Saccharomyces cerevisiae S288C: one gene and its partners. Changing the gene in region 1 together with any one later gene gives a genetic interaction. Each region holds a gene or a part of one and is shown in the gene's direction. Other genes may lie near its edges. The genes, in order: CEM1, ECM25, LSC1 and BGL2.

Region 1 (8,187 bases):
GAAAACTCATCCTGTCAAAGATACATAACTCAAGGACGTGCTTGGAGATGTCTAAGGATGAAAGAAATTTGGATTCTTTTGCTAATCTAGAAACGCTGGGCAAAAATTCACTAATGGCTTCCATTTCCCTTGTGGTAGAAAACAGCTTTTCACATTTACCGTCTTCTACTAAGCAATATCTTACTGAACGGCTGTCATCAATCGAATTTTTGACTATTCTATCGCAAAGGCTATTTATGCCCGCTACACGTCAACTATTCGCTGACCTATCACAAGAAAAAATTCAGGTGAGAGTGCTGAATCTCATACTGGGATCTCTTGTCAAAGATTATGGGTTTGATGCATCTTTGGCACCAATCAACGAAATTATCTATCACATGACACTCCATCAATATCCCTTGGTTTGTAGTAATAAACAGTCCAATCCAATGAGGCCACACTCCACATCTGAGGTCTTGAGTGCACATTCTTCAACGAAAGATGCAAGCACTCCCGGTAAAGAAGAGCCTCGAGTGACGAGGTCAAGCACATCGGCAGATAGCACTATCATTACATTGCCTTCAATTGAAGTCCCAAATACGTACGATGATGACAGGTTAAAGATGTTGAGCGCGATATCGTTGCAGATTGAAAATTCCACCTTTTCCAAACCATTCAGTACTATTTCAAAATAAATAGGCCCGCTTGCATCATCCCCACCTGCATTACTATGAACTATTTATCATAGCTTATTTTTCCTCTATCATCATTGTAACTTGTACAAGAATGTTCAGTCTGTAAATCTCGCCGCTCATTCTCTACTAGCACTTTACAACGTTGACAGCCACTGTATGTGTAATACAGTGAACCGCCGACTCTTCGGATTTAATAACACAGATTTATTTAGAATAATCTACACATGTTTACGTATGCAACAAATTTTGCACCTTCATATACAAACAACTGCGGTCGTTTAAAAAGTGGGAAAGAACCGAAACTAGAATGAAAAACTCCACCAAAACGGCTTGAGCCTTTATCTTCTGTAACCAGAGCGGTTGCCTCTCCTGTTTTTACTTACTCTGGAGCGGTTGTTTGCATTTTTGTTTCTATTTTTAAATTTACCGTTATTGCCACTTTCAGGTTCATTTTTCCTACTGACAAGGCCCAGTTCTTCAGCCAACTTGCTATTCAAGTCAACACCAAACTTCTCCACACGATTTATCTGTCTTTGTAAAGAGTCAATATCCGCTTGATCTTGACCGAATTTGTTAGCGCGGTGCAGTTTCTTATTTAAAAGATCCAATGCTTTGGCCTTAATTTCTTCTGGTGACAAAGCGGGAGCAGCAGTGGAAGCAGCAGCTTGTTCGTTCTCTGAAGCAGTAGCAGAAGGTCCATCAGAGGGCTTTTGAACGTCCTTATTTTCCTCCTTGGGTTCGTTTGTTTCTTTAGGCTCGCTTGAAACTTCCTTTTTTTCAGTAATGTTCTGGGAGGCTGGTTCTTCTATCGCCGCAGGTTCTGACCCTTGTTCCTGGTTTTGTTCCTGTGGAGAAACTTCACTTTCACCCTTTGATTCTTCATCGTCCTTTATCAGTCTTTGAACTAGTTCATTCTTCAATCCGCCTACAGACAGATTTCTCTTGGTCAGTAAATCTTTCAATTGAACAACAGTAAGGGAAGAATAATCTGCCATTGTAAGTGCTTGTGCTGGCTCCAAGAACAATTCTAGTGGTGAAAAAAATTCTATTCAATATACAGATATCTTTGTAACTTCTGAAAGTAGCGCATCCTGAAAGGACACATTTGAAGAGTCACTATTCAACTTTCTTCTCCCATTCAGCATTATCACGCCCTTCCACCAACGCTGGTTGCATTGTGTTTTCTTACTTCGGCTAGAGACGCCGGGTAATAAAATATATATCCTCGAATGAACCGCTGGCCTCGGCCATTTTCATATGACTTCATATCATTAATATGGCCGTAGGTTAAGCAATGCTACGTGAAAGATACCAATTCCAATCGTCTGCTTTCTCTCAAGAGGAGACTTTGCGTTCTTTAAAGGAGCAGAGAAAGAGGGAAACGGTGAAAAACTTCAATATTGATAACATCCATCAGCGTCTAAATTCCTATGCCTCCTTCGAAAATGGTCAATGTTATACCCTCTCCCATTAGATATTACCGTAGCGTACGTATTTGGCCCTGTCCTTTGGGGTTTGGCCTTCTCAAGTATTTTGGCACCTCGCCCTGAACGAAAAGCTGGCACTTTGTCCCCAGCCAAACTCTTCTCTCTAATATCGTCTTTAACGACAAGGTAAAAAGATTTCTGCAGTGTTCCGTCTGCGTCATCATCTGTGCCCCACAATCCGCGGCGTTTCCGTGTAAGCCGTCAAGTGAGGACTTTTCGGATGCTGAAAGAAAGTACGCTCGGAAAAACTACATAGCTGCCCCCCTAAACGGGCCTCCCACGTGACGTAAAGTAGGAATAATAAGAAGCCAAGTCGTTTCTTTTTATTCTAAATAAGTTCGTTTCTTTTGATGTTGTCATTTTCAGAAATATATATATATGCGCTTAAATACACAAGCTAAAACAACATAGTTAGGATTGCCAAAGGTTTCTTTTCTACTCAATTTGGTCTAACTCTTTTCATATTAATAGCGCCAACCAGCTAGTGTTTACCAGATCAGTGGAAAAACATAAAACAATAAAAACAATATTCGGAATGGGATTGACTACTAAACCTCTATCTTTGAAAGTTAACGCCGCTTTGTTCGACGTCGACGGTACCATTATCATCTCTCAACCAGCCATTGCTGCATTCTGGAGGGATTTCGGTAAGGACAAACCTTATTTCGATGCTGAACACGTTATCCAAGTCTCGCATGGTTGGAGAACGTTTGATGCCATTGCTAAGTTCGCTCCAGACTTTGCCAATGAAGAGTATGTTAACAAATTAGAAGCTGAAATTCCGGTCAAGTACGGTGAAAAATCCATTGAAGTCCCAGGTGCAGTTAAGCTGTGCAACGCTTTGAACGCTCTACCAAAAGAGAAATGGGCTGTGGCAACTTCCGGTACCCGTGATATGGCACAAAAATGGTTCGAGCATCTGGGAATCAGGAGACCAAAGTACTTCATTACCGCTAATGATGTCAAACAGGGTAAGCCTCATCCAGAACCATATCTGAAGGGCAGGAATGGCTTAGGATATCCGATCAATGAGCAAGACCCTTCCAAATCTAAGGTAGTAGTATTTGAAGACGCTCCAGCAGGTATTGCCGCCGGAAAAGCCGCCGGTTGTAAGATCATTGGTATTGCCACTACTTTCGACTTGGACTTCCTAAAGGAAAAAGGCTGTGACATCATTGTCAAAAACCACGAATCCATCAGAGTTGGCGGCTACAATGCCGAAACAGACGAAGTTGAATTCATTTTTGACGACTACTTATATGCTAAGGACGATCTGTTGAAATGGTAATCCTCTAAAATCGAACATATTTGAGTAATAATTCTCAGATACAGTCCTATTCTATATTCGCCACAAAACAAGTAATGATGCTAAAAAACGACACATTTATAAAATCACATCTTATTGATTAAATAAATACGTAGATAGATTTTTTTTTTTAAAACATATAGTGTGCTATTATTTCTGACTCTGTCTCATCTCAGAAAAATAAATGATAAAAAAGGAAGTAAAATCCTTAAACGTTATCAGGTTATTAGCAACTTGAAAGTGACAGGAGCCACAACGGATTAAAATTTAATTTCTAGTAAAGAAATGTCAAGAAGAGTGGTTATCACAGGATTGGGCTGTGTAACGCCGTTGGGAAGATCATTAAGTGAGTCATGGGGGAATCTGCTCTCTTCCAAAAATGGACTCACACCAATCACATCTTTGCCCAACTATAATGAGGACTACAAACTCAGAGAAAAAAGTATCCCATCAACGATAACAGTGGGGAAGATTCCAGAGAATTTTCAAAACGAAAATTCAGCCATCAATAAACTGCTGTTCACTAGCCAGGATGAGAGAAGAACCTCAAGCTTTATCAAGCTAGCACTACGTACAACTTATGAAGCGCTTCACAATGCTGGTCTCTTGAACCCAAATGATATAACCATCAATACATCTCTGTGCAATCTGGATCACTTTGGTTGCCTGATAGGTTCTGGTATAGGATCCATTCAAGACATATACCAAACTTCTCTACAATTCCATAACGACAATAAAAGAATAAATCCATATTTCGTCCCTAAAATCCTTACAAATATGGCAGCTGGTAATGTTTCCATCAAGTTTAACCTTAGAGGATTATCCCATAGTGTTTCCACAGCATGCGCAACAGGTAATAACTCCATTGGCGATGCATTCAATTTTATTCGGTTAGGCATGCAAGACATCTGTGTCGCCGGTGCAAGTGAAACGAGTTTGCATCCGTTAAGTTTAGCAGGTTTCATCAGAGCAAAGTCGATTACTACAAACGGGATCTCTAGACCCTTTGATACACAACGTTCTGGATTCGTACTTGGTGAAGGATGCGGAATGATTGTCATGGAATCGCTAGAACATGCTCAAAAGAGAAATGCAAACATAATTTCTGAGCTCGTGGGCTATGGTTTAAGCAGTGATGCCTGCCATATTACCTCCCCTCCTGCTGATGGAAATGGTGCCAAAAGAGCAATAGAGATGGCTCTAAAAATGGCTAGATTAGAACCAACTGATGTTGACTACGTCAATGCACATGCTACATCAACTTTACTAGGCGATAAAGCAGAGTGTCTGGCAGTAGCCTCAGCACTCTTACCAGGAAGATCCAAAAGCAAGCCACTGTACATATCCAGTAACAAAGGTGCAATTGGCCATCTTTTAGGTGCAGCTGGCGCCGTAGAAAGTATATTTACAATTTGTTCCTTGAAGGATGATAAGATGCCGCATACCTTAAACCTGGACAATGTTCTGACTCTAGAAAATAACGAGGCCGATAAGCTACATTTCATAAGAGACAAACCTATTGTGGGAGCTAATCCGAAGTACGCATTATGCAACAGCTTCGGATTTGGAGGAGTTAACACATCTCTTCTCTTCAAGAAATGGGAAGGGAGTTAATATTATTAAACTTATATATATATCCCATTATAATCGTTTTTGAATTATATGCTATCTATTCGAATGTCGAGATTTATCCATTAAAACCAATCATTTCAATGATTAGCAAAAATATTAATCAATTAACATTTAGTCATCGACCGAAATATTTGAGTTCTAAAGGTCTTACAATGTTATAGATGATGAACGCCCAACTTCCGCCTAACTCGAACCCAATGTCACCGCCGTACTCTCCGATCAAACGACTGATCTCACCAACCCAATAAGTTTGGCACATACCCAACGCTACTCCAAAGGCACCAGCAATTAAGGCAGCAGTACCTGCGATACCGATAGGTAGATGCTCCCAATTATCCCAATCATCAATATTGTAAGCACTGAAGGAACGCCTATAAATAAAATGCTCTGAACATGCAATGGCAATATAAATAGCCAAATAATAACCAATGGAATCCATAAAATTCTCCATAAAGCCGTCAAAGTAATAGGTAGCAGGGATGGAAATACCTAAAGTGGCAGCATTACCTGCCATTGTCCAGACTACTCTTGGTATTTTAGCCAAAGGTGCCCACAAAGCTTGAGCGGATAAAGCGACAGTGTACATTCCAGGGACATTATTAGCAACAGTTGAAAGAGCCAACAAAACACAGCAGAATTGACCGAATCCGTTTAGAGAGTTAGGGACCAGGATAGCATATATGACACCACCCATGGCGTTTTTATCATAATATGACTTCCAGGTTGGGTCATTAAGGGCCGCCATACCGCAAGCAGCACCAAGAATCATGGTGAAAAATAGAGGGAACGCTAGACCGGCTACTACGGAAAAAAAAATTTTGTATTTACTTGTGGTCTTTGGCATATAAACAGTGTAATCTGCTGCATAAGTCGCCCAACCCGCAGCTGACCCAAAAACAGATGAACCAAAAGAAAGAACACCACCTGCAGTAGTTGCACCCCCTACCCATTCACCACCTTTAAATTTTCCTGATCTCGATAGTTGGGCAATAATGACCAAAAAGGCAGCAAAATTGGGTACCCACGACCATTTTTCGTATGCATGAACGACACTGTAACCAAAAAAAGTCACAAGCACGGTACCACCAGCAATAATCAAACAACCTGCCCAAATAGGACAGTTGTGCCCAGAGCCTTCATTCACCATATTCAAAAGTTGAGCAGAAACAGAAATATTTAAAACACACCAACCGACACAAGCAATGACATTAACAAGAGAGAAAAATCTTGCTGTGATGTTACCAGCCAAATATCTCGATAGAATCATCTGTCTTAGGCCCAGTTCTACCCCAAAAAGTGAGAATAATGCAACAGGGATCAAACCCAAAATATTGAAAAAAATGATAACTAAAACACTTTGGCCGAAATTTAGGCCAAATACTAGAGGACCCAAGGCACCTACGGAATAGGCTACAATCACCATATTAGCTGAAAACCATATAGTGGCGGCATTGAGTATCGAGTCATCATTTTTTTCATCTTCTGTAACTGGTTCAATACCTTTCGTCTCAGCATTTAAAGCAGCTGCAATCCTATTGAAAAAGGACGGCTTATTATCAATGAATTCGTTGGTTCTATGCAATTCTACACCCTCATAGTATACATCAGCGGCGGAAGATTTTGTGTCCAGAGCTCCAGATTCGAGGTCCCTTAGTTCACTCCCCGCATCTTTTATATCGACCATTGACATGGCTAACTTTTCTGGCATACTTTTCTTCGATATTTTAGTCACCTTCTGAAACACCCTCCATTTCAATCTGACAAGCGTATCTTATAACAAACAATTTGGTTATCATGTTATATATTTGTCTGGTTTACAAATCACCAGTGCAAAAACAGACTACATTTATGTCATCTGCATGCATTAGGCTTTCAACAGACTAGAAATCAAAATTTATCAACTAAACAGAAATAATGCAACGTCTCATAAAGTATTTACTGGCGATCGGAGTAACTCTTAGAACCACAGTCACGTGATATGCTTATCAGAATTGCGTTATCAACTCAAATGAATGAGCCGTGATAATTTAATTAACATACATGCTATTTTTTAATGATTTGCATACTAGAGCCATTTATGTTACATTACAAAGACTAAAATAGCGAAACATTTAAATGAACTTTCGTTAACGACCAAAGTACTTGAGCTCAAAGGGTCTAGCAATGTTGTAAACTATAAATGCCCAACTTAGTCCTAACTCGAATCCAATATCACCACCGTAGTCTCCGATCAAACGGCTGATCTCGCCAACCCAATAAGTTTGGCACATACCCAACGCTACGCCAAAGGCACCAACAATTAAGGCAGCAGTACCTGCAATGCCGATAGGTAGACGTTCCCAACTATCCCAATCATCAACATTGTAAGCACTGAAGGAACGCCTATAAATAAAATGCTCTGAACATGCAATGGCAATATAAATAGCCAAATAATAACCTATGGAATCCATGAAGTAATTCATGAAGGTAGAAAAATAGTAGCAGGCAGGAATGGCAATACCCAGTGCGGCCGCATTGCCTAATAAAGTCCAAATAACTCTTGGGACTTTCGCAAGAGGTTCCCACGTGGCTTGCACCGATAAAGCAATAGTATACATGTTGGGAACATTATTAGCGATAGTGGACAGAGACAATAACACGCAACAGAACTGACCGAATCCGTGAACAGAATTAGGGACAAGAACGGCAAAAGTTAAACCACCTATGGAATTTTCGTCATAATACGTCTTCCAGGCTGGATCGCCGATAGCTGCCATTGCTACAGCTGCACCAAGTATCATAGTAAAATATAATGGTGTTGCTAACCCAACTACAAGCGAGAAAAAAATTTTATACTTGTTCGTTTTCCTTGGCATATAAACGGTATAGTCAGCCGCATATGTTGTCCAGCCTGCAGCAAACCCATAAACTGTTGATCCAAATGAAAGCACGTTACCTGCTGTAGTAGGACCAGATGTCCACTCCCCAAGGACAAATTTTTTAGACCTTGCCAAACGAGCAATTATTACCAAAAAAACGGCAAAATTTGGTACCCACGCCCATTTCTCGTAAGCATGAATGACTCCATAGCCGAAAAAAGTTACAATTA
Region 2 (9,043 bases), on another chromosome or scaffold:
CAAGCTATGCAAGCTCGATGTGCTCTTCCTTTCGTTGGCTTCAATTCGTTGGTGCCCGCATCTCTAGATAAAACCAAAATCTTAGATCTCTTGCCTTTCAACTTCTTCATTGCACACGAAATAGGCTTTCCAGATTCTTTCGGCGTCATCTATTGAATAATTCTTTGGTCTAAGTTGTATGTATTACTCTTTAAATTGAGACAATCAAGGAAATCACACATATAAAAATACTGTGGATCTGAAAGATTGGGTTTTTATAGGATAAATGCGTATAAAGGTAGATCCTAGGATTAATTATTATGGTATTTACATATCGCCAGAAACTTATATATACTCCCCTCACGCCGGATTATTATTTGCGATCGTCCCATCGCTTCTTTATGAGCTCGTGTAAATGATGACCTTGTGGACGCCCCATTTTCCTTTCGTACACATAGTAGCTGAGACAGCCTACCATAATTGCCAATAACGGATCAGAAAATCTGCAATAGAGACCAGCTTGGGAAAGAGCACATCGACTTGTTTGATGTTGCCTCTTCGAAACAGCAAATGGTTAACTATGCGTTAGTAAAAGAATAAGTGTGAAAAAAAAAAAAATAGAATAGCGTATGAAGAATGAACATACTTTCCTAATAGAAAGGGAGCGTACTGAACCATGTTATCGATGATCTTGTGTGGAATCCTCTTATAAATGGAGTGAACATTTGTATGCCCCTTGTGTGCGTGTGGCTAACAGGGAAAAATAGAGCCCGCGTAATCTTGAATAATCTAATATGTGAACAGTCTTTTATTTCCGCACTTCATACCTATATAGAGTAATATAATTAATCATTGATAGGAATTTACATAATGCAGCAATCTCGTATGCCTAGGCCGTACATTACCTTTTCAACGTCTTTCCGTACACGAACCCAATCGCTTCTCCTCTGAACAAATTCATAAATTTCCTCTTGCGTAAAAATGCCATTGAATTTCCCAAGATCAGAAATAAGCTTTCCCAACTCTTTCGAGTCCTTGCCTGAAATGATGTATAACTGGCCAATAGACTTAAGCCCAACAAAATAGGGAACAACATTTTTTTGTTTTAATTTGTTAGCAATAAAATCGTAAAAGTAATTTAAATCGCAGATTAACCAAATTGCGCCCTCCGTAGATATGAAGCACTTCTTCAGATGTTTGACGATTTCATTAAAGAATCTCTCGCCAATTTCTTGTTGGTACACGTCAATAGTACCCTTGTCTGTGGCACCAGTCAGTAGAAAGCAATGATTAGAAAGTAACTCGACTACCCTGATAGCACATTTGGTTGGCTTTATATCCCTTATTGGAGAATTCCTAGAGGGTGGCGGTGGATTATAATCGTCAGGCAATTGAAGAGTCTTGAATACAAATGAGATTTCATCCATTAGTTTGTTTATACCGATATTTAAACCTTCGGCTACAAAATCATCGATAGAAGTCTCAAAATTTTTTTTTAATTGGATAACATCATTAAGAAAATCTTTATTTTTATCGATAATTTTTTTGGGAATCAATTCGTTCTTGTAAAAAATGGAAATCATTTGTAATATTATGTCACCTATATTGATAAGTTCAGTGAATTGTACTAAAGGTTCGACTTGAGTATTGGCTGGCGAAAGTGAATTGAATTTTATTTCTATTTGTTCTATTTCGTTAGGATTATATTTTTGTAGTAGCAGGATTGCCTTTTCAAATGCAGGTTTAACGTGATTTTTATTCAATTGTGTAATTAAAATTTTGAAAATCTCTTGACAGCGTAGCTTGATCAATGGTAGCAAACTTTCAATCGTATGAAATTTGTAAATTTGATCCGTCTTTTCGCTTGTTTCCTGTAAAATTTTGTAACATAAATCGAGACTTATTAACGATTTAATGTTTTGCAAGTTATTGGAAATTAAATTTAAGTTGTAGGCTAGTTGTAGTTGTTGCTTTAGCCTTTGATTTTCATTGTTCGAGAACTTGAAAATCTTGGTGAAGGAACTTAGAAAGTCTAGTTTATCATTAGAAATATCAGTTGAATGAACTGATTGATGGATCGTACTTGGTTTTGAATCCGCTTCTGGGACAGTTTTGGAGGTTTCAGTAATTATTGAGAGGTCATTCGGCAATTCATTGTTACTTGCACTCGAAGCATCCGTTTGATCTTTTAAAGTGTTATAAATTTTTGCGTTTTGCTCACGCTGCTTGTCTTGAACTTGTGTGTCATAATTAGCTAATTGTGAGTTGATCAATGATTCAAATACTCTAGTTGTCTGATTCATATAGTTGACAACAAAGGGCTCGAGATACAGGTTTAAAAGGTCACGAACAACTTTACGGAAATTTGCGCCTGCGTTTACTGAGTCGTTTAATTCAGTATCAAACTTTTTTATAAATGTGAAATAAAGTTCGGGTACGCATTCATAATTGGCTTTACTATCCTTTCCATTTTCTTTTAAAAATTCACTATAGCTTAATAAGATATTGTTTAAAATATCTAATAAAATATCTTGGATAAAGGACTCGATGAACTGTAATATTACAGGGAACTCATCTTTGAATAAAATGTCCGCTAATTTAATCTTTTCGTTGAGGAAATCCCTTAGCTGATTGAGAAACGTATCTAAATTTTTAGAATTAAATATCACGGTACTCCCACCGCTGTCCTCTTCCCTTGGTTGTTCGGCCCAAAATAATTCATCATTAGACGGCAAAACCGTTAAACTGGGAGGCAAATCAGCCTTTGACTTGAAAAATTCGATAGCATTGCTTTCCTCATTAGATATCAATAAAATTTTCATGAAACGAGCGACGGCAGCTAAATTATTAGACTGGTAATTCAATTCTGACTCTTTGAGAACAGAATTAATGAAGATTTCCCTAAGAATGTTGAAATTAGTTTCAATCCTAGTAAATGTTTCTATATCATTTTTATTCGAGAAATTGTACTTTTTGATAAAATTTAGAATTCTTGTTTGTTTCAACGGATCGTTGGAATATGAAGTAGGAAAGAAATTTGCTAGATTATTATTATATAGCTTCCTAGCGTATGAGTTATAACAACGGTAAAATTTCACAAAGATTTTTTTAGAATTTTGAGCAGTGAAAGATTTGTATATTTCGAAGATGCGAAGGGAATTTTGATTATCATTTTCATCCAGCAACGTAATTTCTTCTTCTTCATTTGAATGCACCTGTTGGAGACCCATTCTAGTCAATTTCAATGACCAATACTTTGAATCATTTTTGCCGTTAATGATTGCATAAACCCGTTTATTCACTTGTTGAAAACTCAGATAATCTACAGTAGATAAATATGAGGCAATATTGGTTACAATCTCGGGAACTTTTAGCAGATCATCCATTTTACCGATTTCCTCAAAAGCTTTTGTTTTCTTTTGGTTTTTCTATTGTTTGTCTGTTGACCATTTTTTGATAAAATAAGAACCTTCCTTCAACGAAATATTTCGGCAAAAGTTAGCCTTGAAACACTTAAATACAGGAAGAAATAAGGTAAAGCGTAAAACTAACAGCAATAATTTGCAGTTGTATAAATGGAACCAGAAGATACCCAGCTGAAAGAGGACATTAAAACCACAGTAAATTACATAAAGCAGCATGGTGTTGAGTTTGAGAACAAACTGCTAGAAGATGAGAGATTCTCATTCATCAAGAAAGATGACCCACTCCATGAATACTACACCAAACTCATGAATGAGCCAACAGACACTGTCAGCGGTGAAGATAATGACAGAAAGAGTGAGCGAGAGATAGCAAGGCCGCCGGATTTTCTGTTCTCTCAATATGATACTGGAATATCCCGAAGAGACATGGAAGTAATCAAATTGACAGCACGCTACTATGCAAAGGATAAAAGTATTGTTGAACAGATGATTTCAAAGGATGGTGAAGCCAGATTAAACTTTATGAACAGCTCACATCCGCTACATAAGACATTCACTGATTTTGTCGCCCAGTACAAGCGAGTATATTCTTTTACTGGTCAAGAAATCAAGAAAAGTAAGAGAACCATTTTAGATAATTGTTTTGAGAGAACACAGTATTGGGAATTTGAGAAAGATAAAGACCGGGAACATGATAAGCTCGTAGAGTTGTGCAAAATACAATTTGCAGCCATTCCATGGGATAAATTTACTCAAGTGGCAAAATTTTCTATCCCTGAAGACACAGAAATCTTCGAAGGCTCTCTAGATTTAGAACAGATGAGGCTGCGAAGAGTACAAACTGGTATTAAGTTATTCGATAGTATCAAGCCGACAAATGAAGAAGAAAAGATAGTATCCGACCAAGGTAAGCAAAAAGGAGGAGATAGTAAGGGCAAAAAGCGTAAAATTAGAGCTGTGGGAGAGACAAGGTTAAAGAAAAGTAAAAAATAAGCCTCATGAAAATCAAAGTTAGCTAGAAGTATGTAAAGGTTGATGATGCACCGTAATTGAGCACATGTATCACTATTAACGGCGTACGTATTTTGGCGTTTTTTCATGTTGATGTTATTTTGTATATAGAAAGTGAAATTCTCGAGGATATGGCCCTACTGGATAATACTATTGGTAGCGTGAAAGAAGGCCAGGATGATAGATATCAACGTTAATAACATATTTTTTAGATCTTATTCAGTTGATCCTAACTCTGGTCACGCAATTTATGTCTTTGATTCGACTTATTTGCCAGCATCTGATGAAATTGGCGATAAGCAAGTTTATGACTTGCTTATTAATGCCCTCATGGATCGATTGGTAATGAAATTGCCACAGGCACCATATTCACTGGTGATTTTTTCATCTGGGTTTTCCCAGAGAAAAATAAGCTGGGTTTACGGTATTAAAATGTTTGCAAAGTTACCCAAAGAGACCAAGTTCTATTTACAAAAGATTTTTATTGTTCATGAGTCATTCTTCGTTAGGTCGGTCTATCAAGTAATTTCAAACGCTATGAACTTTAACTTCTTGGACTCAAAAGATAGTCAGCATGATTTTCCAAGTTTAGTTCATGTCTTGGACCTGACTTCTTTATCCGAGCTAATAGATATTACGCGACTTAGAATATCGTTGAACGTGTACTTATATGATTACCAGATACGCGAACATATAAATGTCCCGGAGGAATATTATAACAGATTGACCCCTCTGGCAATAAGACAGTATAGGCAGTTAGTATTCGATAAAATTTTCAAGAAATTACAGAATGACGCTCTGTTGTGTGAATTGATATTCCAGAAGCCGGGAAACTATAAAAAGGTAAACATTTTTTTGGATATTATCAAAAGAAACAACTACATTGATTTATCTCAATGGGATATTTATTCTTTGGCATCCGTGTGGTTGAATTACTTCATTAAGAATAAAGCCAAACCTCTAATCCCAATTGAATTAATTCCGTTACCAATTGTTGATGATCTAAAGTTCACAAGTGAAACATTCCGCAAAATTATTAAATTCAACCAATACCAGGACCTCTTTATGGTCATAATTCCTTTTTTTAATAGGATCATAGCGCATGGTGAATCGACTAAACATGATTCAAGGACCCTAAGTAAAGCTTTAACTCCGGCGTTATGTAAGGAAAAACTTTCCATGATGACTAATGATCGTTTAGCTATTGGGTCGAGATATATTAAAAATTTACTGGACTTTTTCCCCGAAATCGCGAAGGAAATATCATCACCTCCTTCATCCGTATCATCGTCTTCTACTATCCCTGTTTTGCCTAAGCCAAGGAAGTCGTCGCCAACCAGATACAGTGAACTAGGCTGCTTAACCCTTCCTAGAAGTCGAAGCCCTAGTCCACAAAGATCTGTTACGTCTCCAACGTACACACCTGTCGCATTACAAAATACACCAGTCTTGAAACCTAAGTCTTCAAGCAGAAATGTTTCATCCCCATCATTCAATGCCAAACCTCCACTTCCTATTAAGGCAGTTACACGACCACAACTGTCTCTAACTTCCAATTCTAATACAGATTTGGCATTAGCTTCTTCTTCTACAGATACATTATCCTCACCGACGAAGACTCCATCAGCAGACTCGCTTCCATTGAGTAACAGCAGCACCGATTTAACGATATCAGATAATATCAAAGAAATGGTTAAGGACGAGCCAGCAAAGGATAAAAATTCTGTGGAAACAGATATATTCGTACAACAGTTTGAAAGTTTAACCCTCGTCCAAAACGCGAAGATTAAGAAGTTCGACAAAGAACTACAAGAAAAGAAGAAGAAAAATGAAACTACTTCAAAGACAGCAGATAAATTCTCTCAAAAGGGATATTCAGATATTAAAGCAAGCAACAAGGTTAGCAGGCTAGCTGCATTGTACGAAGAACGTTTACAAGGTTTACAAGTAATGAATGAAATGAAACAAAGGTGGTAACTTACATAATTGTATCTTTTTAACACATACATATTGCATATACGACAACAAAATACCCCCCACCCTTGAGTTAAGCCGTAGTTGAAGCAGTCGAGATCTCGTGTATAATATTATATATCAAACAATATTACGTTTTTTATAGTAAATAAATAAATAAATAGGTAGGTTATTTGCACCGTCTATATGCAGAGTCTATAGAATTGTGTAAACTAGCTTATGACTATTAAATCGGACTCTTAATTTTTAGCTAATATCTCTTCAGAATTTATTCGTTTCTTCGTATATTACCAATATAATTGATTGCTGAACCAGCTTTGAAAAAATCGATTTGATCTTTAGACATAGTATGTTTTGCCTTGATGGTGAACGATTCACCGTTTGGTTTAGTAATTTTAACATCAATTTCACCACCGTTATTACCATCCTTAGCAATCATGTCAACTAGGTTCAACGTTTCTAAAACATCTCCGCTTGATATTTTATCATAGTCAGATTCGTTGGCAAAAGTCAATGGCAACACACCTTGTTTCTTCAAGTTTGTCTCATGAATTCTTGCAAAAGACTTAACTAAAAGAATCTCTCCGCCTAAAAATCTTGGTGACAAAGCAGCATGCTCTCTTGCGGAACCTTCACCATAGTTATGTTCCGCTATCACGGTCCATGGTCTACCGTCTGATTTCCATTTCATCATCAAACCAGGAATATCATATTCAGTTCCGTCAAGGTCATAAGCCTTGTTGACTTCACCGGTTTCTTTGTTTTGTGCACCAATCAATGTATTGTAAGAAATGTTTTCTAGATGGCCTTTATATTTCAACCAGACGCCCGCAGCGGAAATATGATCTGTTGTACATTTACCTTCAACTTTCAAAAGCACGTTTGTCTTCAATTCCTTCCCGTTCCAAGGTTTGAATGGCTCTAATAATTGCAAACGATCAGAATTAGGGTCTACCTTAATCTCTACATTGCTATCTGGCTTTGGATCCATTTCAGGATAAAATTTGTCTCTACCGTGTTCAAATCCTCTTTTTGGTAACTCATCACCCTTTGGTGGTTGGAATTTGAAATCCTTCCCATTTGGCAATTTAATTGAGTCAGTTAGCGGATTGAACTGAGCATCTCCAGAATAACTCATCGCTGTTACTATTTCTGGGGATGTTAAGAAATTCATTGTATTCCTATTACCATCGTTTCTAGCTCTGAAATTTCTATTGAATGATGTAAAAATAGTGTTCGTTTCTTTTGATGTTTTCGAGACATCTTCCCTATTCCATTGTCCGATACAAGGGCCGCATGCATTTGCTAAAACTTTGGCACCATTTTCTTGGAAAATATCGATGATTCCATCTCTTTCCAAGGTAGCTCTAATTTGTTCTGAACCAGGGGTGACAAAGAAGGGGATACGTGGTTTCAAGCCGGCTTTGGAAGCTTGCTTGACCAAGTCGACAACACGACTCATGTCTTGATAAGATGAATTGGTACATGATCCAATCAAACCAGCGCTAACTTTTTGGGGCCAGTTTTCCTTCAAACTTTTTTCGGCATATTGAGATATTGGGGTTGAAAGGTCTGGTGTAAATGGACCATTAACGTGAGGTTCAATTGCGGATAAGTCAATTTCAATAACTTTATCGTATTGAGCATCTTTGTCGGCTCTTAAGAAGTTAAACTTGTTTAAAGCAACATCAGCTGCTTCAGCGACCTCTGCTCTATTAGTTGCTTGCAAATAACGCTTGTGAGCTTCTTGGTAAGGGAAAGTTGACGTTGTAGCACCGATTTCAGCTCCCATATTACAGATGGTTGCCATACCTGTGCAAGATAGAGTGGATACACCTTCGCCGAAGTACTCGACGATATAACCAGTACCACCTCTGACAGTTAGTAAACCAGCGAGCTTTGTGATTACATCTTTAGGAGTGGACCATCCGTTTAACTTTCCGGTCAATTTAACACCTAAAATTTTTGGTGCTTTTAATTCCCATGGAGTGCCTGTGAGGGCATCAACTGCATCCGCACCACCAACCCCGATGGCAATAGCTCCCAGACCGCCTGCATTTGGTGTATGGGAATCAGTACCTAGCATCATTAGACCTGGAGCTGAGAAATTTTCCAAAACAATCTGGTGAATGATACCAGAACCTGGGCCCCAGAATTGAATTCCATATCTCTTTGCGCAACTCTCCAAGAAATCGAAAACTTCTTGGTTGGTAGCTATGGAAGAGGGTAAATCTTTAGTTTCACCGTCCTTACCTACAATTAAATGATCACAATGTATGGATGCTGGGACAGATGTTTGATTTAGACCGGTGGTCATGAATTGTAGAAGCGCCATTTGGGCAGAAGCGTCCTGCATAGCTACACGGTCTGGGTTTAGCTTCAAGTATTTATTACCACGGATGGTGGACAGATCAGAAGAAGTAATCGATTCTTCAGGATCGCAAAGATGCGAGTATAAAATTTTTTCTGCTAGTGTCAATGGAGCATTGTTTGTTATTTGTTTAATCTTGTCTAGGTTGGTCAAAAGTTTTGCATAAGGTGGCACTTTTGTTTGAAAATTTTTAGATACAGAGGGGAACATATTGGCATGTGTTGCCAAATGCCTCTTTATATAAAACCTATTAGCTGAAGATAGCATCGAATCTCTTGCTTAT
Region 3 (8,112 bases), on another chromosome or scaffold:
ACCAACACGACCTTGTACTGATTAAATTTGGTAGGCTTAACGTTTAAAGTCTCTGAGTTAAGTGCATGCTCCAAAAGCTTGGTAACGTCTGAGATTAATTCTGCCAACGATTTATAATATGGTGACTTGACATTAAAAGAGCCACCTCTGAAAGGCTTTCTAATAACAAATTTTTCGTCCACGCACCTCAATGCATCTGAACCATAGTATAATTTTGAGTCATCAAATATCCATTCTATAGGAGATGGATCATTTTTCTCTGAAATAATCTCAGGTTTGGAATTTTCATTGAAAGATACTACCTGTTCGTGAGCATTACCTGGTACCTTTCTTTTATAATACCTCATACGTTCTCTAAAATTCTTTTCCATCTCCGACTTTATGTTGTTAAACTCTTCTGACTGTTCTCTTTGAAGGCAAACGTTTTCAACATGTTCACTATTTTCAAGATCCAGCCATTTTTTAGGTACCGCTACACAATTTGGAACTACGACAGGATGGTCATCTTTGGGAAATCCTATCTTTATAGAATTTGATCCAGGATGTATCACGATAGTTGCTGTTGGATCATTTAGATCTATCTCGTCATTAAGTGGTGCTGCACTCGCTTCTGAGTGGGGCAAACTCTTTAAATCTATAACATCTGGTGTGTTGGTACTAGATATTTGGCTAGTGTTGTTATTTCTCAAAAATTTTCTATCTCTAAGTGCAAATATTTGATCGTCTTTTTTCAGATAATCTGATGAGTAGTTTTTTTGGTTGATTAACATTAAAGGTTGGAACAGGCCAGTGGCAGGTAAAGTAGTTGTCTCCACTTTCTCAATGCCAATTTTTTTCAACGTCTTGGCAAATTCTTCAGCAGCTTTAATACGTCCTAGTCTCCTCTTCTCCAAAAGATGTAGCGGGACTTTCTTCCCGGGAGGTGCTTTTGCGGGATCTAGCTTCGGATATTTCTTATAACGTTTACTAGTCTGCACAGCAGGTGGTGCCCTCTTATCTCTAGAGCTCCCTAATTCATTTTCATTTTCGTTGGCATTATCATTATCATTTTCGTCCTCATTGTCAACATCATTGTCGTCTTCGTCTTCATCTTCGTCTTCCCCTTCTTCATCTTCATCTTCTTCGTCTGCAACGTCTCTTGGGTCAACAGAAAGACCTGTTACACTTCTGGGTGTCTCAGATCCAACTACGTTATCGACACTATCGTCTGACTCATTCTCCGCATTTTCTTGATCCGCCTGGCTGCTTAAAGGTACGCTATTTTCTTCTTCCAGTTCATCCTCATCGTCATCATCCTCTAACGGAATATCAATGGGTTCCTCATAAATAATACTGGATTCTGCTTCTTCTTGCGACATGTTAGGTGCGATTGTATCCCTGTATTTATGTACTATTGACTAGTAATTTACCTGAAAGTGTTTGCTACTTCGTGGGCGTTCATCATCTCCATTTATTCATATTGCCATTCTCAAATAAGTCATCTTGCACGGCCCAACCAGCGGCTGGATAACGGATCTACCCCAACCTCGGACCCAAAGTTGCTGCTATAAAAACAGAAACAAAAAAGGCGTTTCTCGAGACTGATATCCAGATGGTAATAGAGCCCTTAAGTGCTTTGCAATTGTCAATTAAGTATCCTTGTTCGAGAGTTGTTCACAGCACACTGCGTATATATAGGCTTACCACAGTTGGATTTAATCAAGCGATATAAAAGCTGGAAGGAGACAAGTTTCCCCTAATTGTTGTTCTGTTTGTTACTTACCACTCTATATACGTTCGATTTCATAGAAAATTTCTTTTGCAGACCATTTATTCTTCAGTTTGATAATGTTAAGATCTACCGTTTCAAAAGCTTCTCTCAAAATTTGTCGTCACTTTCACAGAGAATCTATTCCTTACGATAAGACGATCAAAAATTTGCTGCTTCCCAAGGACACCAAGGTGATCTTTCAGGGGTTCACAGGTAAACAAGGTACTTTTCATGCCAGCATCTCTCAAGAATATGGTACAAATGTTGTGGGTGGTACGAACCCAAAAAAGGCGGGTCAAACACATTTAGGCCAACCTGTCTTTGCCTCTGTGAAGGACGCGATTAAGGAGACTGGAGCCACTGCCAGTGCCATCTTTGTTCCTCCACCGATCGCAGCTGCTGCCATTAAAGAATCTATTGAAGCTGAAATTCCGTTAGCTGTATGTATCACTGAAGGTATTCCTCAACATGACATGTTATACATTGCAGAAATGTTGCAGACACAAGATAAAACAAGATTAGTTGGGCCCAACTGCCCTGGTATCATTAACCCAGCAACAAAGGTAAGAATTGGTATCCAGCCCCCAAAAATTTTTCAAGCTGGTAAAATCGGTATTATTTCCAGATCGGGAACTTTGACATACGAAGCTGTTCAGCAAACTACAAAAACTGACCTTGGTCAATCACTGGTTATTGGTATGGGTGGTGATGCTTTTCCCGGTACTGATTTTATTGACGCCTTGAAATTATTTCTAGAAGATGAAACTACAGAAGGTATTATTATGTTAGGTGAAATAGGTGGTAAGGCCGAAATCGAAGCTGCTCAATTTCTCAAAGAATACAACTTTAGCAGGAGTAAGCCGATGCCGGTGGCATCTTTCATCGCAGGAACTGTTGCTGGTCAAATGAAAGGTGTTAGAATGGGTCACTCCGGTGCAATTGTAGAAGGATCTGGAACTGATGCAGAATCCAAAAAACAAGCTTTGAGAGATGTTGGTGTTGCCGTCGTTGAATCTCCAGGTTACTTAGGTCAAGCTTTACTGGATCAATTTGCCAAATTTAAATGATTATATTAGGAAGAGAATGAACTGCTTTCAAAAGAGGAAGACTTCTATGTCTCGATTATTGCTTAGACAAGTATGGAGCTGACATCCGTTTTCTTTTCAGAGCTTTTACTCAACATTCTATGTTAATTTTTCCCTTTGTATATATTCATTTATCCTTATAAATTCTACTAAAAATCTTTTAATAGTGTTTGTATTTAATGTTCTTCTTAACAAGGGTATACATAAAGGTTGATTAAAGCTTAATAATTGAAATGGAAAAAAAAATAACAAAACGTCTGAATTTCCTAGTCTGTTTTGCAAAAACAGATGCGCAAGCCGGGAATCGAACCCGGGCCTCATGCTTGGGAAGCATAAATTCTAACCACTGAACCACTTGCGCGTTTCAATCAATTTGGGAAGACTCAGCACGTTATATACTATTAATGAAAAATTTCCTTCTTAGTAATGACACTGATAAATAGGTAAGTGTTGGAATTAAAATCAACTATCGTCTAACAACTAGTAGTCACACTACCAATATATTATCATACACGGTGTTAGACGATGACATAAGATATGAGAAACTGTCATCGAAGTTAGACGAAGCTGAAATGCAAGGATTGATAACGTAATAGGATAATAAAACATATAGAACAGAAGGAGAAATAATCATAGTATTATTATGTAGAAATATAGATTCCTTTTTGAGGACTCCTATATCCTCGAGGAGAACTACACATAATATTATATATAACCTTTGCCAAAAAAAGGAATGCCAAAAATTATCAAACTATTTGTTGGAATAAAAATCCACTATCGTCTATCAACTAATAGTTATATTATCAATATATTATCATATACGGTGTTAAGATGATGACATAAGTTATGAGAAGCTGTCATCGAAGTTAGAGGAAGCTGAAGTGCAAGGATTGATAATGTAATAGGATAATGAAACATATAAAACGGAATGAGGAATAATCGTAATATTAGTATGTAGAAATATAGATTCCATTTTGAGGATTCCTATATCCTCGAGGAGAACTTCTAGTATATTCTGTATACCTAATATTATAGCCTTTATCAACAATGGAATCCCAACAATTATCTAATTACCCACATATATCTCATGGTAGCGCCTGTGCTTCGGTTACTTCTAAGGAAGTCCACACAAATCAAGATCCGTTAGACGTTTCAGCTTCCAAAATTCAAGAATATGATAAGGCTTCCACTAAGGCTAACTCTCAACAGACAACAACACCTGCTTCATCAGCTGTTCCAGAGAACCCCCATCATGCCTCTCCTCAACCTGCTTCAGTACCACCTCCACAGAATGGGCCGTACCCACAGCAGTGCATGATGACCCAAAACCAAGCCAATCCATCTGGTTGGTCATTTTACGGACACCCATCTATGATTCCGTATACACCTTATCAAATGTCGCCTATGTACTTTCCACCTGGGCCACAATCACAGTTTCCGCAGTATCCATCATCAGTTGGAACGCCTCTGAGCACTCCATCACCTGAGTCAGGTAATACATTTACTGATTCATCCTCAGCGGACTCTGATATGACATCCACTAAAAAATATGTCAGACCACCACCAATGTTAACCTCACCTAATGACTTTCCAAATTGGGTTAAAACATACATCAAATTTTTACAAAACTCGAATCTCGGTGGTATTATTCCGACAGTAAACGGAAAACCCGTACGTCCGATCACTGATGATGAACTCACCTTCTTGTATAACACTTTTCAAATATTTGCTCCCTCTCAATTCCTACCTACCTGGGTCAAAGACATCCTATCCGTTGATTATACGGATATCATGAAAATTCTTTCCAAAAGTATTGAAAAAATGCAATCTGATACCCAAGAGGCAAACGACATTGTGACCCTGGCAAATTTGCAATATAATGGCAGTACACCTGCAGATGCATTTGAAACAAAAGTCACAAACATTATCGACAGACTGAACAATAATGGCATTCATATCAATAACAAGGTCGCATGTCAATTAATTATGAGAGGTCTATCTGGCGAATATAAATTTTTACGCTACACACGTCATCGACATCTAAATATGACAGTCGCTGAACTGTTCTTAGATATCCATGCTATTTATGAAGAACAACAGGGATCGAGAAACAGCAAACCTAATTACAGGAGAAATCCGAGTGATGAGAAGAATGATTCTCGCAGCTATACGAATACAACCAAACCCAAAGTTATAGCTCGGAATCCTCAAAAAACAAATAATTCGAAATCGAAAACAGCCAGGGCTCACAATGTATCCACATCTAATAACTCTCCCAGCACGGACAACGATTCCATCAGTAAATCAACTACTGAACCGATTCAATTGAACAATAAGCACGACCTTCATCTTAGGCCAGAAACTTACTGAATCTACAGTAAATCATACTAATCATTCTGATGATGAACTCCCTGGACACCTCCTTCTCGATTCAGGAGCATCACGAACCCTTATAAGATCTGCTCATCACATACACTCAGCATCATCTAATCCTGACATAAACGTAGTTGATGCTCAAAAAAGAAATATACCAATTAACGCTATTGGTGACCTACAATTTCACTTCCAGGACAACACCAAAACATCAATAAAGGTATTGCACACTCCTAACATAGCCTATGACTTACTCAGTTTGAATGAATTGGCTGCAGTAGATATCACAGCATGCTTTACCAAAAACGTCTTAGAACGGTCTGACGGCACTGTACTTGCACCTATCGTAAAATATGGAGACTTTTACTGGGTATCTAAAAAGTACTTGCTTCCATCAAATATCTCCGTACCCACCATCAATAATGTCCATACAAGTGAAAGTACACGCAAATATCCTTATCCTTTCATTCATCGAATGCTTGCGCATGCCAATGCACAGACAATTCGATACTCACTTAAAAATAACACCATCACGTATTTTAACGAATCAGATGTCGACTGGTCTAGTGCTATTGACTATCAATGTCCTGATTGTTTAATCGGCAAAAGCACCAAACACAGACATATCAAAGGTTCACGACTAAAATACCAAAATTCATACGAACCCTTTCAATACCTACATACTGACATATTTGGTCCAGTTCACAACCTACCAAAAAGTGCACCATCCTATTTCATCTCATTTACTGATGAGACAACAAAATTCCGTTGGGTTTATCCATTACACGACCGTCGCGAGGACTCTATCCTCGATGTTTTTACTACGATACTAGCTTTTATTAAAAACCAGTTTCAGGCCAGTGTCTTAGTTATACAAATGGACCGTGGTTCTGAGTATACTAACAGAACTCTCCATAAATTCCTTGAAAAAAATGGTATAACTCCATGCTATACAACCACAGCGGATTCCCGAGCACATGGAGTCGCTGAACGGCTGAACCGTACCTTATTAGATGACTGCCGTACTCAACTGCAATGTAGTGGTTTACCGAACCATTTATGGTTCTCTGCAATCGAATTTTCTACTATTGTGAGAAATTCACTAGCTTCACCTAAAAGCAAAAAATCTGCAAGACAACATGCTGGCTTGGCAGGACTTGATATCAGTACTTTGTTACCTTTCGGTCAACCTGTTATCGTCAATGATCACAACCCTAACTCCAAAATACATCCTCGTGGCATCCCAGGCTACGCTCTACATCCGTCTCGAAACTCTTATGGATATATCATCTATCTTCCATCCTTAAAGAAGACAGTAGATACAACTAACTATGTTATTCTTCAGGGCAAGGAATCCAGATTAGATCAATTCAATTACGACGCACTCACTTTCGATGAAGACTTAAACCGTTTAACTGCTTCATATCATTCGTTCATTGCGTCAAATGAGATCCAAGAATCCAATGATCTTAACATAGAATCTGACCATGACTTCCAATCCGACATTGAACTACATCCTGAGCAACCGAGAAATGTCCTTTCAAAAGCTGTGAGTCCAACCGATTCCACACCTCCGTCAACTCATACTGAAGATTCGAAACGTGTTTCTAAAACCAATATTCGCGCACCCAGAGAAGTTGACCCCAACATATCTGAATCTAATATTCTTCCATCAAAGAAGAGATCTAGCACCCCCCAAATTTCCAATATCGAGAGTACCGGTTCGGGTGGTATGCATAAATTAAATGTTCCTTTACTTGCTCCCATGTCCCAATCTAACACACATGAGTCGTCGCACGCCAGTAAATCTAAAGATTTCAGACACTCAGACTCGTACAGTGAAAATGAGACTAATCATACAAACGTACCAATATCCAGTACGGGTGGTACCAACAACAAAACTGTTCCGCAGATAAGTGACCAAGAGACTGAGAAAAGGATTATACACCGTTCACCTTCAATCGATGCTTCTCCACCGGAAAATAATTCATCGCACAATATTGTTCCTATCAAAACGCCAACTACTGTTTCTGAACAGAATACCGAGGAATCTATCATCGCTGATCTCCCACTCCCTGATCTACCTCCAGAATCTCCTACCGAATTCCCTGACCCATTTAAAGAACTCCCACCGATAAATTCTCGTCAAACTAATTCCAGTTTGGGTGGTATTGGTGACTCTAATGCCTATACTACTATCAACAGTAAGAAAAGATCATTAGAAGATAATGAAACTGAAATTAAGGTATCACGAGACACATGGAATACTAAGAATATGCGTAGTTTAGAACCTCCGAGATCGAAGAAACGAATTCACCTGATTGCAGCTGTAAAAGCAGTAAAATCAATCAAACCAATACGAACAACCTTACGATACGATGAGGCAATCACCTATAATAAAGATATTAAAGAAAAAGAAAAATATATCGAGGCATACCACAAAGAAGTCAATCAACTGTTGAAGATGAAAACTTGGGACACTGACAAATATTATGACAGAAAAGAAATAGACCCTAAAAGAGTAATAAATTCAATGTTTATCTTCAACAGGAAACGTGACGGTACTCATAAAGCTAGATTTGTTGCAAGAGGTGATATTCAGCATCCTGACACTTACGACTCAGGCATGCAATCCAATACCGTACATCACTATGCATTAATGACATCCCTGTCACTTGCATTAGACAATAACTACTATATTACACAATTAGACATATCTTCGGCATATTTGTATGCAGACATCAAAGAAGAATTATACATAAGACCTCCACCACATTTAGGAATGAATGATAAGTTGATACGTTTGAAGAAATCACTTTATGGATTGAAACAAAGTGGAGCGAACTGGTACGAAACTATCAAATCATACCTGATAAAACAGTGTGGTATGGAAGAAGTTCGTGG
Region 4 (7,898 bases), on another chromosome or scaffold:
TTTTTTTTTGGGCAATTTTTTTATATCTTGAAATGATAGTTGCCTTGTACTTTCAACCGTTCATTTCATTAAGAACTTGACTAAATATGAACATTTCTTAAAAAAAAGGTTGACATATAAAAATAATCGAATATAAACGATGGAATTTTTATAAAATTAAACACATATATATATATATATTAACTATAAATATGTCAAAGAAACCATACAATCATAGATTTATAACTATCTTTTGGATGACATTAATGAACATAACGCTCCTAATACAAATGTCCAAAAAATATTACCCGCAAATACGAATCTTTTTTTTTTCTCGATGAAATTTTGCAAAGAGTTCGAAATTTTTATTTCAAGAGCTGGTAGAGAAAATTTCATAAGGTTTTCCTACCGATGCTTTTATAAAATCTTCGTTTTGTCTCACATATACCAACAAGAGTAACGATGTTTTCTTTACCTACCCTAACCTCAGACATCACTGTTGAAGTCAACAGTTCCGCTACCAAAACCCCATTCGTCCGTCGTCCGGTCGAACCGGTTGGTAAGTTCTTTTTGCAACATGCTCAAAGAACTTTGAGAAACCACACCTGGTCTGAATTTGAAAGAATTGAAGCTGAAAAGAACGTCAAAACCGTTGATGAATCCAATGTCGACCCAGATGAGTTGTTATTCGACACTGAATTGGCCGATGAAGATTTACTGACTCATGATGCTAGAGACTGGAAAACTGCCGATTTGTATGCTGCTATGGGTTTGTCTAAGTTGCGTTTCAGAGCTACTGAAAGTCAAATCATCAAGGCTCACAGAAAACAAGTTGTCAAGTACCATCCAGACAAGCAATCTGCTGCTGGTGGTAGTTTGGACCAAGATGGCTTTTTCAAGATTATTCAAAAGGCCTTTGAAACTTTGACTGATTCCAACAAGAGAGCTCAGTACGACTCATGTGATTTTGTTGCCGATGTTCCTCCTCCAAAGAAGGGTACCGATTATGACTTTTATGAAGCTTGGGGCCCCGTTTTCGAAGCTGAAGCTCGTTTTTCTAAGAAGACTCCTATTCCTTCTCTAGGTAACAAAGATTCTTCCAAGAAGGAAGTTGAACAATTCTATGCTTTCTGGCACAGATTTGACTCCTGGAGAACCTTTGAGTTCTTGGACGAAGATGTCCCAGATGACTCTTCTAACAGAGACCACAAGCGTTACATTGAAAGAAAGAACAAGGCCGCAAGAGACAAGAAGAAGACTGCTGATAACGCTAGATTGGTCAAACTTGTTGAAAGAGCTGTCAGTGAAGATCCCCGTATCAAAATGTTCAAAGAAGAAGAGAAGAAGGAAAAGGAAAGAAGAAAATGGGAAAGAGAAGCCGGTGCCAGAGCTGAAGCTGAAGCTAAGGCCAAGGCCGAAGCTGAAGCGAAGGCTAAAGCTGAATCTGAAGCCAAGGCTAACGCCTCCGCAAAAGCTGACAAAAAGAAGGCTAAGGAAGCTGCTAAGGCCGCCAAGAAAAAGAACAAGAGAGCCATCCGTAACTCTGCTAAGGAAGCTGACTACTTTGGTGATGCTGACAAGGCCACCACGATTGACGAACAAGTTGGTTTGATCGTTGACAGTTTGAATGACGAAGAGTTAGTGTCCACCGCCGATAAGATCAAGGCCAATGCTGCTGGTGCCAAGGAAGTTTTGAAGGAATCTGCAAAGACTATTGTCGATTCTGGCAAACTACCATCCAGCTTGTTGTCCTACTTCGTGTGAATACCGTAAGAAATGGAATAGAATATATACGAATGTATACGAATATTATAGAGAACGTTCTCTTTTATTTCTATAATGAATAGGTTCGGGTAACGGTTCCCTTTTTAGGTATTTCTAGAAGATGAGAGAAGAGGGAATAATGAGAAAGGCGAAAAATAAAGGACACCTTTAACGAAAGATCAAAGGTGTCCTTATTTACTTACAATAGCTGCAATTAGTACGACTCAAAAAAAGTGAAAACAAAACTGAAAGGATAGATCAATGTCTTACAGAGGACCTATTGGAAATTTTGGCGGTATGCCAATGTCATCATCGCAAGGACCATACTCTGGCGGTGCACAATTCAGATCAAACCAGAACCAATCCACTTCTGGCATCTTAAAGCAATGGAAGCATTCTTTTGAAAAGTTTGCCTCCAGAATTGAGGGGCTCACTGACAATGCAGTTGTTTATAAATTGAAGCCTTACATTCCAAGTTTGTCAAGATTTTTCATTGTGGCCACCTTTTATGAAGATTCGTTTAGGATCTTATCACAATGGTCAGATCAAATTTTTTATCTGAATAAGTGGAAGCATTACCCATACTTCTTTGTCGTTGTGTTTCTAGTGGTTGTTACCGTTTCCATGTTGATTGGCGCCAGTTTGTTAGTTTTAAGAAAGCAAACCAATTATGCCACCGGTGTGTTATGTGCTTGCGTTATTTCTCAAGCATTAGTTTATGGGTTGTTTACGGGTTCATCATTTGTCCTAAGAAACTTTAGTGTTATTGGTGGGTTGTTAATTGCATTCAGCGATTCAATTGTTCAAAACAAGACAACATTCGGTATGCTTCCTGAATTAAACAGCAAAAACGACAAAGCGAAGGGTTACCTGTTGTTTGCTGGTAGAATTTTAATTGTTTTAATGTTTATCGCTTTCACTTTCAGTAAATCATGGTTTACTGTTGTTTTGACCATTATCGGCACAATATGTTTCGCCATTGGTTACAAGACAAAATTCGCATCCATTATGTTGGGTTTGATACTAACTTTTTACAATATCACGCTAAACAACTACTGGTTTTATAACAATACTAAGAGAGATTTCTTGAAGTATGAGTTTTACCAGAACTTAAGCATCATTGGTGGGCTTCTATTAGTTACTAATACTGGCGCTGGTGAATTATCCGTTGATGAAAAGAAGAAGATTTACTAGATTGTAAAGGAAATCTTTTCTTTATGTCCCTTCTGTTCACTCATCTTCTAACAATCTATTTCGTTTTGCCTTCTTGTGATCGCTTTCAATACCCTGCTAGCTCACATATATACTTTTCTTACTGTCATATCTACATAAAAGATTTCTTTTTGTATAGGCGCACTTAACGAAATTTGATTGGTCTCACGTTGGCTTGTATATTCTACCTTCAATCAATGTGGTTATATCGCACAGAATTCCCTTGTATTATGATAGAACTTATTTATTGTAATTAGTTTTGATTTGACCATTTTCGTTGGTCCGTAATTGTTTTACACTGTCACTGCTTAAATCATTGAAGAGATGCTCTTGAGATAGCATCCGCTCTCCTATCTTTCCAAAGAAACGCTTTAAAGTCGCTTTAAGCAATCTCTAAAGTTTAAAAATTCCTAATAAATAGCTCTTTAGCAACTATTGTAAACCGCAATAATGGGCACACCCAAACATATTATTTGAAATTTTTTCCACCTCATCGCTTGAAAACACCATGTTGAAATTGGGATATTAAGTAGAGGAGGTAATTGATACCAATGAGGTGAAACACATCTACCAAGGGAAGTGTAGCATAATAGGGGAAGATGGCAGTAAAACATAAATCCGAGAGCCTTAAGCACGAAGAGGGGGCTGCCAAAAAGGCAAAGACAGGCCTATTGAAGCTAAAAAAAATCATGGATATAGAATCTAATGTGGTCAAATATTCCATATGCATACCGACAACTGTTATCGACAATTGTAATAATTTGGAGCAAGTTACATTTACTGCATATCAAATAGCTCGGACAGCTGTATTGTTCAATGTTCAAGAAATCATAGTTCTAGACCAGTCAAAAGATAAAAAGCATGAAAAAAAATCAAGATCAAAGGAGACTATCTCTGATTGTTTATTACTTGCCACACTATTACAATATTTTGTAACGCCTCCAAACTTACTGGATACTACATTCAAAAAAAAAAACAAGTTATATTTAAAGTGTGCATCTACCTTTCCGCCATTGAACCAGCTACCTTTTATGAACGCATCTGCCGAACAACACTACAAGGAAGGCTTATCAATCGCACGAGATAGCTCAAAAGGTAAATCTGATGATGCTCTAACAAATTTGGTGTATATAGGAAAGAATCAAATTATTACGTTATCTAACCAAAATATTCCCAATACTGCGCGTGTAACAGTTGATACAGAGCGCAAAGAAGTAGTGTCACCCATAGATGCTTACAAAGGAAAACCACTCGGCTATCATGTTCGAATGGCAAGCACTTTGAATGAGGTGTCCGAAGGTTACACAAAGATCGTTTGGGTCAACAGTGGTGACTTCCACTACGACGAAGAGTTGTCAAAGTACCACAAGGTAGAAACAAAGCTACCATACATCGCAAAACTGAAAAAAAGTTCAACATCAGAAAAACCCTGTAATATCCTGCTTATCTTCGGGAAATGGGGCCATTTAAAACGTTGTTTCAGGAGATCTGACTTAGAATCCTCTTCTTTGCATCATTACTTTTCTGGTCAACTGCAATTCCCTGCTTCCGTACCCCAGGGAAATATACCCATTCAAGATAGCCTACCCATAGCTCTTACCATGTTTCAGCGTTGGGCAAGTTGAAATAAATAGCAATTAATAACTGATATTACTATTTATGTTATATAATCATCGTTTTCTACGGATATGCAGTTCTATTTTTAGTAAAAGAAACGTTAAAATTTTTCTTTCAGTTTTTCGCCCTGAAAAAGAGAAAAATGTCACGAAGAAAACAAGAGGATATTTGTTTATTTTGATTTTAACTGCCTCCTTATAAAGAAACTTTTCCTCATTCACAATTTGGACTTCTTCTTGTTTTTTTCAATATAAGTTTATTGAGATAGACAACTAACCAAAAAGAAAAACGGTCAAAGATGCGTTTCTCTACTACACTCGCTACTGCAGCTACTGCGCTATTTTTCACAGCCTCCCAAGTTTCAGCTATTGGTGAACTAGCCTTTAACTTGGGTGTCAAGAACAACGATGGTACTTGTAAGTCCACTTCCGACTATGAAACCGAATTACAAGCTTTGAAGAGCTACACTTCCACCGTCAAAGTTTACGCTGCCTCAGATTGTAACACTTTGCAAAACTTAGGTCCTGCTGCTGAAGCTGAGGGATTTACTATCTTTGTCGGTGTTTGGCCAACAGACGACAGTCATTACGCTGCTGAAAAGGCTGCTTTGCAAACCTATTTGCCAAAAATTAAAGAATCCACTGTTGCTGGTTTCTTGGTTGGTTCTGAAGCCTTATACCGTAACGATTTGACTGCCTCTCAATTATCAGACAAAATTAATGACGTCCGTAGTGTCGTTGCTGACATTTCCGATTCTGACGGAAAGTCATACTCTGGTAAGCAAGTCGGTACTGTCGATTCCTGGAATGTTTTGGTTGCTGGTTACAATTCTGCCGTTATCGAAGCTTCCGATTTTGTTATGGCTAACGCGTTCTCCTACTGGCAAGGTCAAACCATGCAAAATGCCTCTTACTCATTCTTTGATGATATTATGCAAGCTCTACAGGTTATCCAATCTACTAAAGGTTCTACCGATATTACCTTCTGGGTTGGTGAGACCGGTTGGCCAACTGATGGTACCAACTTTGAAAGTTCTTACCCATCTGTTGACAACGCCAAACAATTCTGGAAAGAAGGTATCTGTTCCATGAGAGCTTGGGGTGTTAACGTTATTGTTTTTGAAGCCTTTGATGAAGATTGGAAGCCAAACACCTCTGGTACCTCTGATGTCGAGAAGCACTGGGGTGTTTTCACTTCAAGTGACAATTTGAAATACTCCTTGGACTGTGACTTTTCATGAACGCTTTAAAAATACTCTTTAAACAAGAATGGCTTTTTCCTTCTGTTTAGGTGAGGAATAAGCAAAAAGTAACAAAAAAAAATGTTATCCCTTCTTTTCTTCCTTATTTAGGCTTTATTTTATCTTTCACTTCTTTTACGTATTTGAAATATCCTTCGGTTTTAGGATTTTCACTTCTAAGTTTTCTATTTTATGCCTTCCATTTTAAATTCGTATTTTGTGTATACTTTATTCAGTAAACAGACATCCCAATAAGTTCTTTGAATATCTTCTGAAAATGATGTATAAATATATATTTCTAGAATGAAAAAGGACCGAAGGCGTTGTCCAGTTTGCCTCATAAAAAATGAAATGTTCTTTTCGGAATTTTGAGTATACAATGTGGGTATGCAATTATATCTATCTATGGCACACATAACTTTTTCTGCAAGTCATAGTAGTGGGTTTTCTTTTCTAGTACTAATTTGTACCATCGGCAACATATAAATAAATAAAAGAGAAAAATCATGCAACAAATAATATAAATTAACTTCTGTTCTCGAAATCATTTTCCACAATACCAGATCTAGAACACATGCTTCTGAAAATACTATCTTCTTGACTAAACAACGTCCATGGTGTATCGAATTCTGCGACTTCACCCTTCTCTAAAACAAGAATACGATCATAATTTACAATGGTCTTCAGTCTGTGAGCAATACACAAAATTGTACAATCTCCAAATTCCTCAACAATACGTGTTTGGATTTTGCCATCCGTTTCGTAGTCCACTGAGGATGTAGCCTCATCCAAAATCAATATTTTTGATTGGCGGACCAATGCCCTTGTTAATGCTAATAGTTGTCTCTCACCTAAGGAGAAATTGGAGCCCTCTTCTTCCACTGCTTGATCTAAATGGAACTTATGCATTTTACCATGAGTACCATTTTCATCAGGTTTTTGCAATTTCACTTCCGGCAAGTCATCCTTGGCGATAGCACCACCTCTCACCAATGCATCCCATAATTCGTCATCTGTACGCTCATTAAATGGATCTAAGTTCTTGCGAATCGTACCCCTAAATAATACTGGATCTTGTGGAATGATGGCTAATTTTCTTCTTAAATCGAAAAGTCCCAGCTGACTTATATCAACATTGTCAATTAAAATTTTACCTGCGGTCAATTCATTCAACCTGTAAAGGGCACTCATAATAGTGGACTTACCAGCACCTGTACGACCACAGATACCAATTTTTTCCCCACTCTTGATATTCAAGTTAAGATTTTTTAAAACTATAGGTAAACCAGGTCTATAGGCAAAATCAACATTTTCAAAAATTATTTCGCCCATTGAGGGCCATGACTCTGGAGGTGTCATTTCGGGCTTTCTATAGGATGCCTCTAGTGGTAGTTCAGTTGCATATGTTACCAATCTTTCGGCACTATTCATGTCATTCTCTGTTTGAGTCATTGCCCTTAAAATGGTATTTAATAGACCAGGCAATTGTAATACATAAGTCAACAAAACACCAACTGAAGCCGCGGAAATAGGAAAGGCTCTCGTAACACACAATAACGTAATAATTAGTGCAAATGCGATAGCAACCATATCAAGGAAAATACCTACCCATCTTTGCAGGACAACTACAAGGTATCCCGCCTCATTCATCTTGTTGATCAAAAAATCTGATTTCGCCAAAAATCGTTCCTGACTTCGGTATGCTTTGATTGTATCCATCCCACCCAAAACTTCATTTAAATTATTGTAAACAAAAGACCGTTGCACAGCTTCAAGTCTTTTAATTTCTCTACCAGAACTCTGATAATGATCAGCAATCAGAACAAAGATGACCAAAAGAAACGGAATTGCGATAGCAAACCACGGCAAGTAAACAATACACATGACGCAAACACCTACAATATTAGCAAATTGAGATGTCATCAACCGTAAACTTTCGGTTAACTCATTATCTAAGCTATCTGTATCTTTTGTGAATCTGTTCAGAATACGTCCCAAAGGTGTGGTATCTATGTATGACATTGGAGTGTGTAAAATTCTTTTCACAGCCCTCAAATTTAACCATTTCGATGCCATAATACCCATT

What was found.
Region 2: mutations in CEM1 (region 1) and ECM25 together harm fitness more than expected from each alone (negative genetic interaction), as found in Saccharomyces cerevisiae (2 studies listed by BioGRID).
Region 3: mutations in CEM1 (region 1) and LSC1 together harm fitness more than expected from each alone (negative genetic interaction), as found in Saccharomyces cerevisiae (4 studies listed by BioGRID).
Region 4: mutations in CEM1 (region 1) and BGL2 together harm fitness more than expected from each alone (negative genetic interaction), as found in Saccharomyces cerevisiae (3 studies listed by BioGRID).

Annotation. Positions count from the first base shown.
Region 1 is NC_001137.3:275,192-283,378, reverse strand, and holds CEM1 (fatty acid synthase CEM1), read left to right. Parts: upstream 1-3,752; coding exon 3,753-5,081; downstream 5,082-8,187. Other genes in the region: VHR2 (Vhr2p), read left to right, coding at 1-674; THO1 (Tho1p), read right to left, coding at 1,013-1,669; glycerol-1-phosphatase GPP2, read left to right, coding at 2,697-3,449; FCY22 (purine-cytosine permease), read right to left, coding at 5,215-6,807; FCY21 (purine-cytosine permease), read right to left, coding at 7,226-8,187. UniProt on the Saccharomyces cerevisiae protein: Possibly involved in the synthesis of a specialized molecule, probably related to a fatty acid, which is essential for mitochondrial respiration. Is essential for oxygen uptake and the presence of cytochromes A and B.
Region 2 is NC_001142.9:49,787-58,829, forward strand, and holds ECM25 (Ecm25p), read left to right. Parts: upstream 1-4,592; coding exon 4,593-6,392; downstream 6,393-9,043. Other genes in the region: YJL206C (uncharacterized protein), read right to left, coding at 1-149; NCE101 (Nce101p), read right to left, coding at 353-482, 626-657; RCY1 (Rcy1p), read right to left, coding at 843-3,365; PRP21 (Prp21p), read left to right, coding at 3,555-4,397; aconitate hydratase ACO2, read right to left, coding at 6,658-9,027. UniProt on the Saccharomyces cerevisiae protein: May be involved in cell wall organization and biogenesis.
Region 3 is NC_001147.6:591,230-599,341, forward strand, and holds LSC1 (succinate--CoA ligase (GDP-forming) subunit alpha), read left to right. Parts: upstream 1-1,827; coding exon 1,828-2,817; downstream 2,818-8,112. Other genes in the region: ARP8 (Arp8p), read right to left, coding at 1-1,358; YOR142W-A (gag protein), read left to right, coding at 3,883-5,205. UniProt on the Saccharomyces cerevisiae protein: Succinyl-CoA synthetase functions in the citric acid cycle (TCA), coupling the hydrolysis of succinyl-CoA to the synthesis of ATP and thus represents the only step of substrate-level phosphorylation in the TCA.
Region 4 is NC_001139.9:1,055,697-1,063,594, reverse strand, and holds BGL2 (glucan 1,3-beta-glucosidase), read left to right. Parts: upstream 1-4,870; coding exon 4,871-5,812; downstream 5,813-7,898. Other genes in the region: ZUO1 (zuotin), read left to right, coding at 442-1,743; protein ERV29, read left to right, coding at 2,005-2,937; UPA1 (putative methyltransferase), read left to right, coding at 3,555-4,580; ATP-binding cassette transporter YOR1, read right to left, coding at 6,338-7,898. UniProt on the Saccharomyces cerevisiae protein: Glucanases possibly play a role in cell expansion during growth, in cell-cell fusion during mating, and in spore release during sporulation. This enzyme may be involved in beta-glucan degradation and also function biosynthetically as a transglycosylase.